Linked DNA regions of Mus musculus. The protein of the gene in region 2 interacts with the protein of the main gene of each other region in a pairwise test. Links are inferred from orthologs where the notes say so. Each region holds a gene or a part of one and is shown on either strand. Other genes may lie near its edges.

Region 1 (4,440 bases), on a different chromosome or scaffold from region 2:
GACCAGTTCCTCCGACATGGTGGGGGCGACTGGAGGAGGTTGAAGGGATCACTGCGAGGTCCGAAGTCGGGGCGGGGGGGGGGCAAGGACAGGATTCTAAGTCAACTCAGGGGGCTCTCCTTTCCTCCCATGTGATCCCTGGATTTGGGGACCCCGGAATGTGGGGACTAAGGGTGCTGGACCAAGCACTGGGGAAAACGAGAAAATCTGAAAGCTGTACCTTCCCTACCTGGCCTGGAAATATTGTACAGAGAGAAGAAGAAGCGGCCCTAGGCTGAATCCTTTACAAAGTCCCACTCCCCAAATCTGACAGTCCCCTGGCCAGGGACACGCACCTGGCTGCACCGGGAGCCGACACCAAGTTGGGGGTCAAGGGGCAGCAAGCGTCTCCTCTCTCCCACGCCGGGCTGGACCGGTGCTTTATACCGGAGAGGGCAGAGTGATTTACAGCCACAAGAGTTCGGCTCCATAAACCTCTCAGTCCCACTCACATGATCCATCTTTTCTCCGAGCTGAATTTAGGGAAGCCAGATAAGGTGAGATTTATATTTACCTGTTAAGATTCCCTTACCCTGTCGCGCTGGTGCTGCCAGGGTTCGGGCACGGCCCCATATTGCCGTACACAGAGGGTCCTCTGCCCCCCAGCGCCCACTGTAACCTGGTGCTCAGAGATCACACCCACCCAAAGACTGCAGAGCTGACCCCCACCCCCGTTGCCCGCTTGCACCTAGACTCCGTCGCAGCTCAGGAACTGGACGGAATTTTGGATCTTGCTTGCTGTCCCGAGATCGGGACAACAGTTCCTCTTTTCCCACCTGCCCTCAGAGTGATCCGAATTCGGTCTTCCTGTATCCCTACTACTGCTGCCCAGAGATGCTGGTTGGATGCTGCAAAGTCTGGTTCCCACGCGGTGCCCTCAATCGGGCTGCAGTCGTCTAGCGCCCCCTGCTGGAGAACTGTTGTTTGACACCCCCCCCCCCCCCACGAGTGTAGGCTGACCGCAGGACTGCTGCGCCCTGCTTGCGGATGAAGGTCTTGCGGTGGGTCCTCCTGCTCCTCTGGACCCACTGTCCTCCAGATCAGAATTGCCTCTCCATCCCACCCTCACACATTATTCGTCAGCTTTTCACCTGTCCTTTTGACTGGTGAAGAAATCAGGGAACCCAGCACCCGGAGTTCTGTCTAGGCCGTATTAAATGTCCCTATATTGGGCTTCAAGGGCTGCAACGCCAGAGTGGGCGCTTTTGGAGCGAGAGAACTGAATTTCACTTGAGTCACGTCTGTGTGCTGAAGAGCATGGCGTTTAGGACCCAGGGGAAGCTCCTGGGCGGCTCCCTGGGCAGTGAGAGATTTCCCCCCTCCCTTCCCCGGTGTGCAGCTCAGATGTCCCGGTAGTCTGTAGTCGTCTGTAGTCGCGGCTCTGGCGCTCCGCATCCACCATCTGCGGCAGCAGGGGCAGGCGGCCCAGGCCCCAGCCCAGCCCCTTCCCTCAACCTCATGCCTCAGCCCTAACCCGGCAGTCCTCCCCGTCCGGGGACAATTCTCGGTGCCCCTTGCCCGTCCCGTCCAACTTGGGCGCCATGAATGACCAGTATCACCGGGCCGCCAGGGATGGCTATCTGGAACTCCTCAAGGAGGCCACCCGGAAGGAGCTGAATGCCCCTGACGAGGATGGCATGACCCCGACTCTCTGGGCTGCCTACCATGGCAACCTGGAGTCTCTGCGCCTCATTGTGAGCCGCGGGTGAGTATGCCCTCTGCCTAGCCAGGAAAACCAGGAAGAACTTCCTGGAACCCGGTGTCCCAAACCTCATGGCATCACTTACCCTCTTGCCTGAGCTGCCCTTTCCCCCTACGGACAGACCCTAAGGTGGGGCCGTGCAGCCTGCTGTACTTAGAGAGACACAGGTGGAAGGGACATAAACTGAGCTTGTGACAGTTGTGGACTGGATGCAGGGATTAGAGGAGAGGAACTTCGATTTGGGGATCGGACCCATGATTATGGGATGGGGGCTGCAGAGGTATTCAAAAATCAGACACTTTGGGGGGGGGAGGGTGCCTGGAAGCAAGAGTGAAAGGTAGGTGGGAACCAGAGAGAAGGCTGGGAAATCTCCAGGGGCCTTGAACTGGGGAGGCCAGGAAGGAAAGACCTTCGCTGCCTACTTCCCAGTCTAGCAGCCAGAAAGGCTGTCCCTACAACTCCGCTAGCTCCCACGGACCGGGCTTCACCCTGACCTGTGCCTTCCTATCACTCTTCTGGGGTTTACAGGCACTGTCCACACTACCAAATGTCACTGGTTCCGCCACTGATTAACTCTCTGTATCCCTCCCCCTCTGCAGGACTCAGGAGTGGGGAACTGTAGTGTGTAGAAAGGACATCTGCCCTCCACCCCATCCTCTCTCTGGCGTTGTCCTGGGAGGGAGGGTGGGCACAGAGTCCAGGGGTCTGGAGGAGGAGTCAGGCAACGTAGATTCAGGGTCACTAAAGTGGTTTGGGGTGGGGGAAGGGGACTAAATCACATTACTGGAAATATCCTACCCACCAACAGTTTAGTAGGACTGGTGTGGCCTAGACAGGAAAAGGATGTCTCAAGAGGTCTCATGTGAACGTCTCAGGCTCTATCTAGGGGTCAAGGTCAGAGGCAGGGATTGTGCTGATCATGGAATTGGAGGGGACCCTGGATATGTAGGGACATGGTCCCCTCTTCTTCTGTGTCTGCTCCTTCGGTCTAGCAGCATGTGGGGACAGTGTGGAATGGTACAGCTGAGACAGAGCCCTACTCCAGGAGGGCAAACACTGCTACTATATCCCCTGCCCCTTCCATCATAGAGGCTCATGGGAGTCTCGTGCAGGAGCAAGGAGGGAGGTATGGAAGGAAAGAGAGCTGTCCAAAGCTCTGAGGTTCTAGAGACTTGGTAATCAGAGGGGGAAGCTGCGGGGAGGGGCGGTGTTGAGATAAGGGAGTGATTCTTCCCCCAGACCTGAGCTGGCCTTGTGGCCTCATTGGTGTGGGGCAGGGCCCCGTGCTAAACCCCGAGAGAGGCAAGATTCCCACGGAAGCCAGCAGAGTTGGGTGGGCTGGAGTCAGATGTGGAGGGCATTAGAGAGGGAGGGGGCAAAGCTCCGTAGGGCAGCCTGAACTAGGGAGAGCAGCGTGGCCAGGTCGCCGCCCTCTTCCTCTCTAGTTCTGGCTGTCCCCACAGTCCCCTTCTGGCTCAGGCCAAGACCCGACACCTGCTCTAACACTGGCATTGCCAGGCCTGGCCCCGCTCCCTGCAGACATGGCGGTGCCCACTGTGTACCAGCGCGCACCCTCTCACGTTCTCCCAGGCTTAAGCCTAACGTACACACACACACACCACCCTCTAGTTCTCTGACACAGTCACCCTGTAACATGTGGCTTCACAGGCCACCGCACCTGCCTAGAGACCCAGACTCAGGCCTGGCCCACCACCACTCTGGGCCAGCTCCCCGCAGGGCCCATGAATAATTCACTCCTTTCTCTCAGCGCATCAAATATTTATCCCCTGAGATTCCCAGCCTCAGTTCTCTAGGGGAAGGCCCGCCCCACCCCGCCTCCTAGGTAGCCCCGCCCCTTTGTGGGTTAGCTCTCTCAGTCTTTCTGTCTCTCTGTCTCTCTGTCTCTCTGTCTCTCTCTCTCTCTCTCTCTCTCTCTCTCTCTCTCTCTCTCTCTCTCTCTCTCACACACACACACACACACAGAGTTTTTGGTAATCCTGAAGCATCTGTTGACTCAAGCCTGCTGGTCTGGAAATCTAGGTCTCAGCCCCATGGGTTTATTTTAGGGTAGTGGTTTTCAATCTTCCTAACGCTACGACCCTTTAAATGCTAAGACTCTTTAATACAGTTTCCCCATGTTGATCACCAACCATAAAATTATTTTGTTGTTACTTCATAACTAATTTTGCTACTGTTATGAATCATAATGTAAAATATGAGATACAGGGTCATGATCCATAGGTTAAGAACTTCCGCTTTAGTGGCTGCTACATTCCAGGTCCAGGGGTTTGCCTTCTTTTCCTTCTTCTCCTCCTTCTCCTTCTTCTCCTTCTCTTTCTCCTTCTCCTCCTTCTCCTTCTCCTTCCCCTTCTTCATCTCCTCCTCCTTCTCCTCCTTCTCCCCCTCCCCCTCCCCTCCACAATATTCCAATTAGACCCCAGGTCTGGCTTGCTAAAGGGACTCATCCTACCTTTCCATCTGCTGTCCCTACAGGGGTGACCCGGATAAGTGTGACATCTGGGGAAACACACCCTTGCATCTGGCAGCTTCCAATGGTCACCTGCACTGCCTGTCCTTCCTCGTCTCCTTCGGGGCCAACATCTGGTGCCTGGACAATGACTACCACACGCCACTGGACATGGCCGCTATGAAGGGCCACATGGAGTGCGTACGCTATCTGGATTCCATCGCGGCCAAGC
Region 2 (4,327 bases):
TCCTTAACCCCGCCATTATCCATAGCCTAACAGCTCCACTCCCAGCCTCAATTAATAGGGAAGACAGTTATCCCAAATCCAGAGTCAAGTCCTCTTTCCACTCCAGGAACCACAGGACCAATCCTATTCAAACGTAAACCATTCTCCCTTAGCTGAGTCCTCTGAACTCTGAAGAAAACCCCAAGTCACTACTGTCCACACCTCTCCCACTTACTCCCACCCGCCGCTCTCCTCTCTGCATTGCCTCCCAGAGCCCTGCCTGCGATTCTAACGCACTGCAGGCAGGTGCTTCCCTCTCTGCTTCTGCCATTCTCTCTGCTACTCATCCGCCCTGTGACACCTTCCTCTTTTTCTAGGTTCAAATGTCACCTCTTTAGAGAGGCCTTCCTGGCGACATAGCATACCACCTGCTGGTCTCTCCCCTCTCAGGGTTACTGTTCTCCCAGCATTCAGCCCCTCACCCAATCATCAGATACTGTTGGTTTCCTTGGTAACTGTCTTCCCCAACAGGGCATGCTCCCGATGATTGGCTGGTCTTGGTGCCAAAACTCTGCCTGGTATAGATTAAGAGGTCAGAGAGTGTTTATCACACACACACACACACACACACACACACACACACACGCACACGCACGCGCACGCGCACACGCACGCGCACACGCACGCGCATACACGCACACGCGCACACACACACACGCACACGCACACGCGCACGCGCACACGCACACGCACACGCACGAACAAACAAACAAACGAACGAATAGCAAATCCTAGGAGGGAGGGACTCCTCTGCTCTTATTCACCCCACCCCTCCCTGATTGACTGGCCAGGGGCAGGGTACGCCAGAGCTACTCATAAATGTGTGATTGCTGGAGAGGCAATAAATGTTTTCTGAGCAAATGAATAACCAGGTTTCAGCATGGCAGCTGGGAACAAAGAGGCTGCTTTGAAAAGCTGATGCTCCACACAGCTCCAGGGAGAGACCTTAGTCCCTGGTCATCCTGGCCCGGCCCTTTCCATCCCAAGGCCGTTCCCTCCATCTGGGAAGGAAAGTTAGTGTTTTAGGTGCCGTTGACTGCTTTTGGACCAGAACAGACCAAGAACTGGAGCGAACATTTACAGTAACACACACAGACTTTGGCTGGGGATCCGAGCATCCACACTCAATTCCTACCTAATCCTGTCTCTCACATACACACACACACAGCACAGCACAACCCCCTCACAACGAAGGAAACAAAAGCTCAGAGATCCAGTGGCTCGCTCAAGGTCAGTGAGTGGCAGAGATGAGAGTTGACCCTCAGTGTTGGGACTCTCCAAGAGTTCAATTTACATAACACACACTCGGACACACACACACACACACACCCCTTATTCAGCCTTCATGATAATGTTATTAAACAGTATGCTCAATTCACAAATTTGGGACCTGAGTCACAGGGAGGTCACCCAGTGTCAGCCATGACAACACATTACCTTAAACAGTACCTCTAGCAACTAAAGAGTTAGACTGTAAACTTCTGCTTAGGAGAGAATTTCCCCAAAACACTCAGGAAGGGGGTCTTTGGAAAGCTGTAAATCTCACCCAGCTCGCCTGTCTCTCAACCTCACCTTTCCTCTCAGTGCCTGGATGATCCGCAGCACGAGAGAGGAAGGCTGTTGCTATGTCTGAGACTACAGGGCACAAAGTCCAGCCCAGGCCTTGCTCGCTAGGATGCCTGCCCTGGCTGTGACATGAGAACATTAATAGATAATGACTCTGAGGAGGAGCCCGGACACGGAAATGCAGAGACCTGAGGCCCTCTAGAACCGGGAGAGGAAGAATAGAGGTGAATGTACAGTCAAGTCAGGCATCAGGGACCCTGGGGGTGATCCTCTCCAAAGAGATAATGTGTAGGTAACTCCACTGCAAGAAATTGAAAGAGAAGCCGACTTTACGTTACTCCCAGCCTGAGGCCAGGAAAGAGAAATTTAAGCTCAGACAGGAGCCAGGAGCCTTTAAAGTGGGTTGACTGAAATCGACACTCAGCAAATGTTAACTGCAGCTGAGCTGTCTCCCCCCCTCCCTGCCCTGACCCTGAAACACACACATCTCTGGGCTCAAGGCACATCACCGAACACAAATGGTCCCCTTGACAATTCAACAGGTGCCCCCCCCCTTCCCTGCTGAATTTTCTGCCACTTCTCACGACTGGGAGTGGGGGCAGGAGCATCTCGGCGCGTGCTTAGGAAGCTCTCACCCCTGCGGCCCCTACCGAACCTCTGTGCCCAAGGCCTGCCTCCCATCCACACTGGGCAAGCCATGGTAGGGTGCAGACGGGATCTGACACGGAATGGCTAAGTGCTCAGGACACGTTTAAATGAGTGATTGGCTGACCCCTGACGTTGGGCCAGAGCTCTTGGCCCTGTAGCCTCTGTGGTTCCACAGTGACTGGCTTCCGGGCATCTCTGGGTCTCTGTGTGGAAGGGAGGAGAGGGGACACCCAGAGTGAGCTTTAGGCACTCAGACCCTTCAGACTGAAAGGGCTTGGTATCAAGCGGCAGGGTGTGTATACAGCTCCCTTCCTTGCGCAGGACCTGTGATGAGCTGTTGACATGGCTTTACCCCCATCTGGGACCTGCTAGGAGGCCACCACTGGGTCCCCTGTCCTTCAGTGACCTTCTGTGGCCTCCACAGACCCTGTAATCTGGAAAACACATTAGGTCTTGGAGGACTTTGAAGAACCAATGTGGCCCCCTCACTGTCTGTCCCTCTCAGTTCTGACCTTGTGTCGGAATTCTCGGGCCACCTTCCGGTCCATGACTGAGCCTGATCCAGTTGCTTTGCAGCTCCACTTCTTAGGGTGCCTGGCTGCGGTGCTCTGGCAGGTTAGCTGCCAGGACAGGACCTGCCTCCCTCAGAGCTAGGGGTGGGGCCTGGAAGAAGCAGGGGTGGGGACAGCCCGGAGGCGGGGTCACCTGTCCTGCAGTTCAGCCGGGCGGCCCTGGAAGAAAAGAAGCCTCGTCGTGTGGATGTGCTAATGGTGGCTTAGTTAGTGAGGCTGGCAGTGTTTTCCAGAGTGGTCCACACACACATTAAGATGGAGGAGACACAGGGCAGTAGGGGTCAGGGGTAGTTTGAGACTGCTTTTCCTTTCTGAAAGAGCATCTCATGTGGCCCAGGCAGGCCTTGAAGTGAATGTGTAGCAGAGGCAGGCACAGTTGTAACTTCAGAGACACAAGAAGGCTCTTCTCTAGATCTCTCTGCCATTTGCCAGCAAGCAGCCTATTCTCATGGTGGCTAAATTATGGCCTAGACTAAGGTATAAGTATAAGTTGTATGCCTGGGGAAATAACTTGCGAGAATGATCCGGATTCTCAGCTTCTGATCTAGTACCACTCTGGTGCTGTGGAAAACACTGTGCTCAGAAGCAACTTGGGGAAGGAGAGCTCTATTCCATCTTAGGCTTCCAGGTTCTGTTCCATTGCTGACAGAGGCAAAGGCGGGAACCCAAACAGGAGCGTGAATCAATGTGTCCTGCTGGCTCACTCTCGTGCTCTGACTCTCGTGCTCCCAGGTTCATGCTTAGCGAGCATGCTTATAAGACTCAGGACCACCTGCAGAGGGATGCTGCGGTCACCATAGGCTTTCTGTAAGTCAGTAGCCAGGCTGTAGTCCAGCCTCTCTCCTTTACTGCCTCCTGCATCAATTAATACTTGAGGCAGTCCCCACGGACAAGTCCACAGGTTAATCAGACCTAGGCTTTGCTCTCAGCTGACTCTAGGTCATGTCAAGTAGACAGTTAATGCTAATTAGGATTCTTTGTCATTAACTGAGTAAGTCAGAAACTGGACAGAAAGGCTTATGGGGCATTTAGTGGTCCAGAAAAGACCACATGGGATGCAATCCTCTTTCAATTTACACCTTTGATTCTCTTTTTTCTTCTCTTTTATGTGAGTACACCGTTGCTCTCTTCAGACACACCAGAAGAGGGCATCAGATCCAATTACAGATGGTTGCAAGCCACCATGTGGTTGCTGGGACTTGAACTCGGGACCTCTGGAAGAGCAGTCGGTGTTCTTAACCACTGAGCCATCTCTCCAACCCCTTTTCTTCTCTTTTTTGAAGTTTATTTTTATTTTTGCGTATGAATGTTTGCTTGCACACACACACACACACACACACACACACACACACACAACCACACACACACAGTGTGCATGTCTGCTGCTGTGAAGGCTGTGAAGAGGGTTCCTGGCATTAGAATTATAAACAGTTGTATGCAATGTGAATGCTGGGAACAGAACCCCCATGCTCTGCAAGAGCAACAAGTCCTTTTAACTACTG

Evidence for each region.
Region 1: the proteins of Ush1c (region 2) and Ush1g interact in binary tests that used the Homo sapiens proteins (3 or more experiments, as listed by UniProt). The link is inferred for Mus musculus from reciprocal best matches to the Homo sapiens genes USH1C and USH1G.

Annotation. Positions count from the first base shown.
Region 1 is NC_000077.6:115,318,997-115,323,436, reverse strand, and holds the start of Ush1g (Usher syndrome type-1G protein homolog), read left to right. Parts: upstream 1-1,518; 5' UTR 1,519-1,580; coding exon 1,581-1,744; intron 1,745-4,234; coding exon 4,235-4,440. Other genes in the region: proton channel OTOP2, read right to left, coding at 1-18. UniProt on the Homo sapiens protein: Plays a role in pre-mRNA splicing by regulating the release and transfer of U4/U6.U5 tri-small nuclear ribonucleoprotein (tri-snRNP) complexes from their assembly site in Cajal bodies to nuclear speckles, thereby contributing to the assembly of the pre-catalytic spliceosome on target pre-mRNAs.
Region 2 is NC_000073.6:46,235,664-46,239,990, forward strand, and holds the start of Ush1c (harmonin), read right to left. Parts: upstream 2,828-4,327; 5' UTR 2,802-2,827; coding exon 2,766-2,801; intron 1,672-2,765; exon of another isoform or gene 1,612-1,671; intron 1-1,611. UniProt on the Homo sapiens protein: Anchoring/scaffolding protein that is a part of the functional network formed by USH1C, USH1G, CDH23 and MYO7A that mediates mechanotransduction in cochlear hair cells. Required for normal development and maintenance of cochlear hair cell bundles.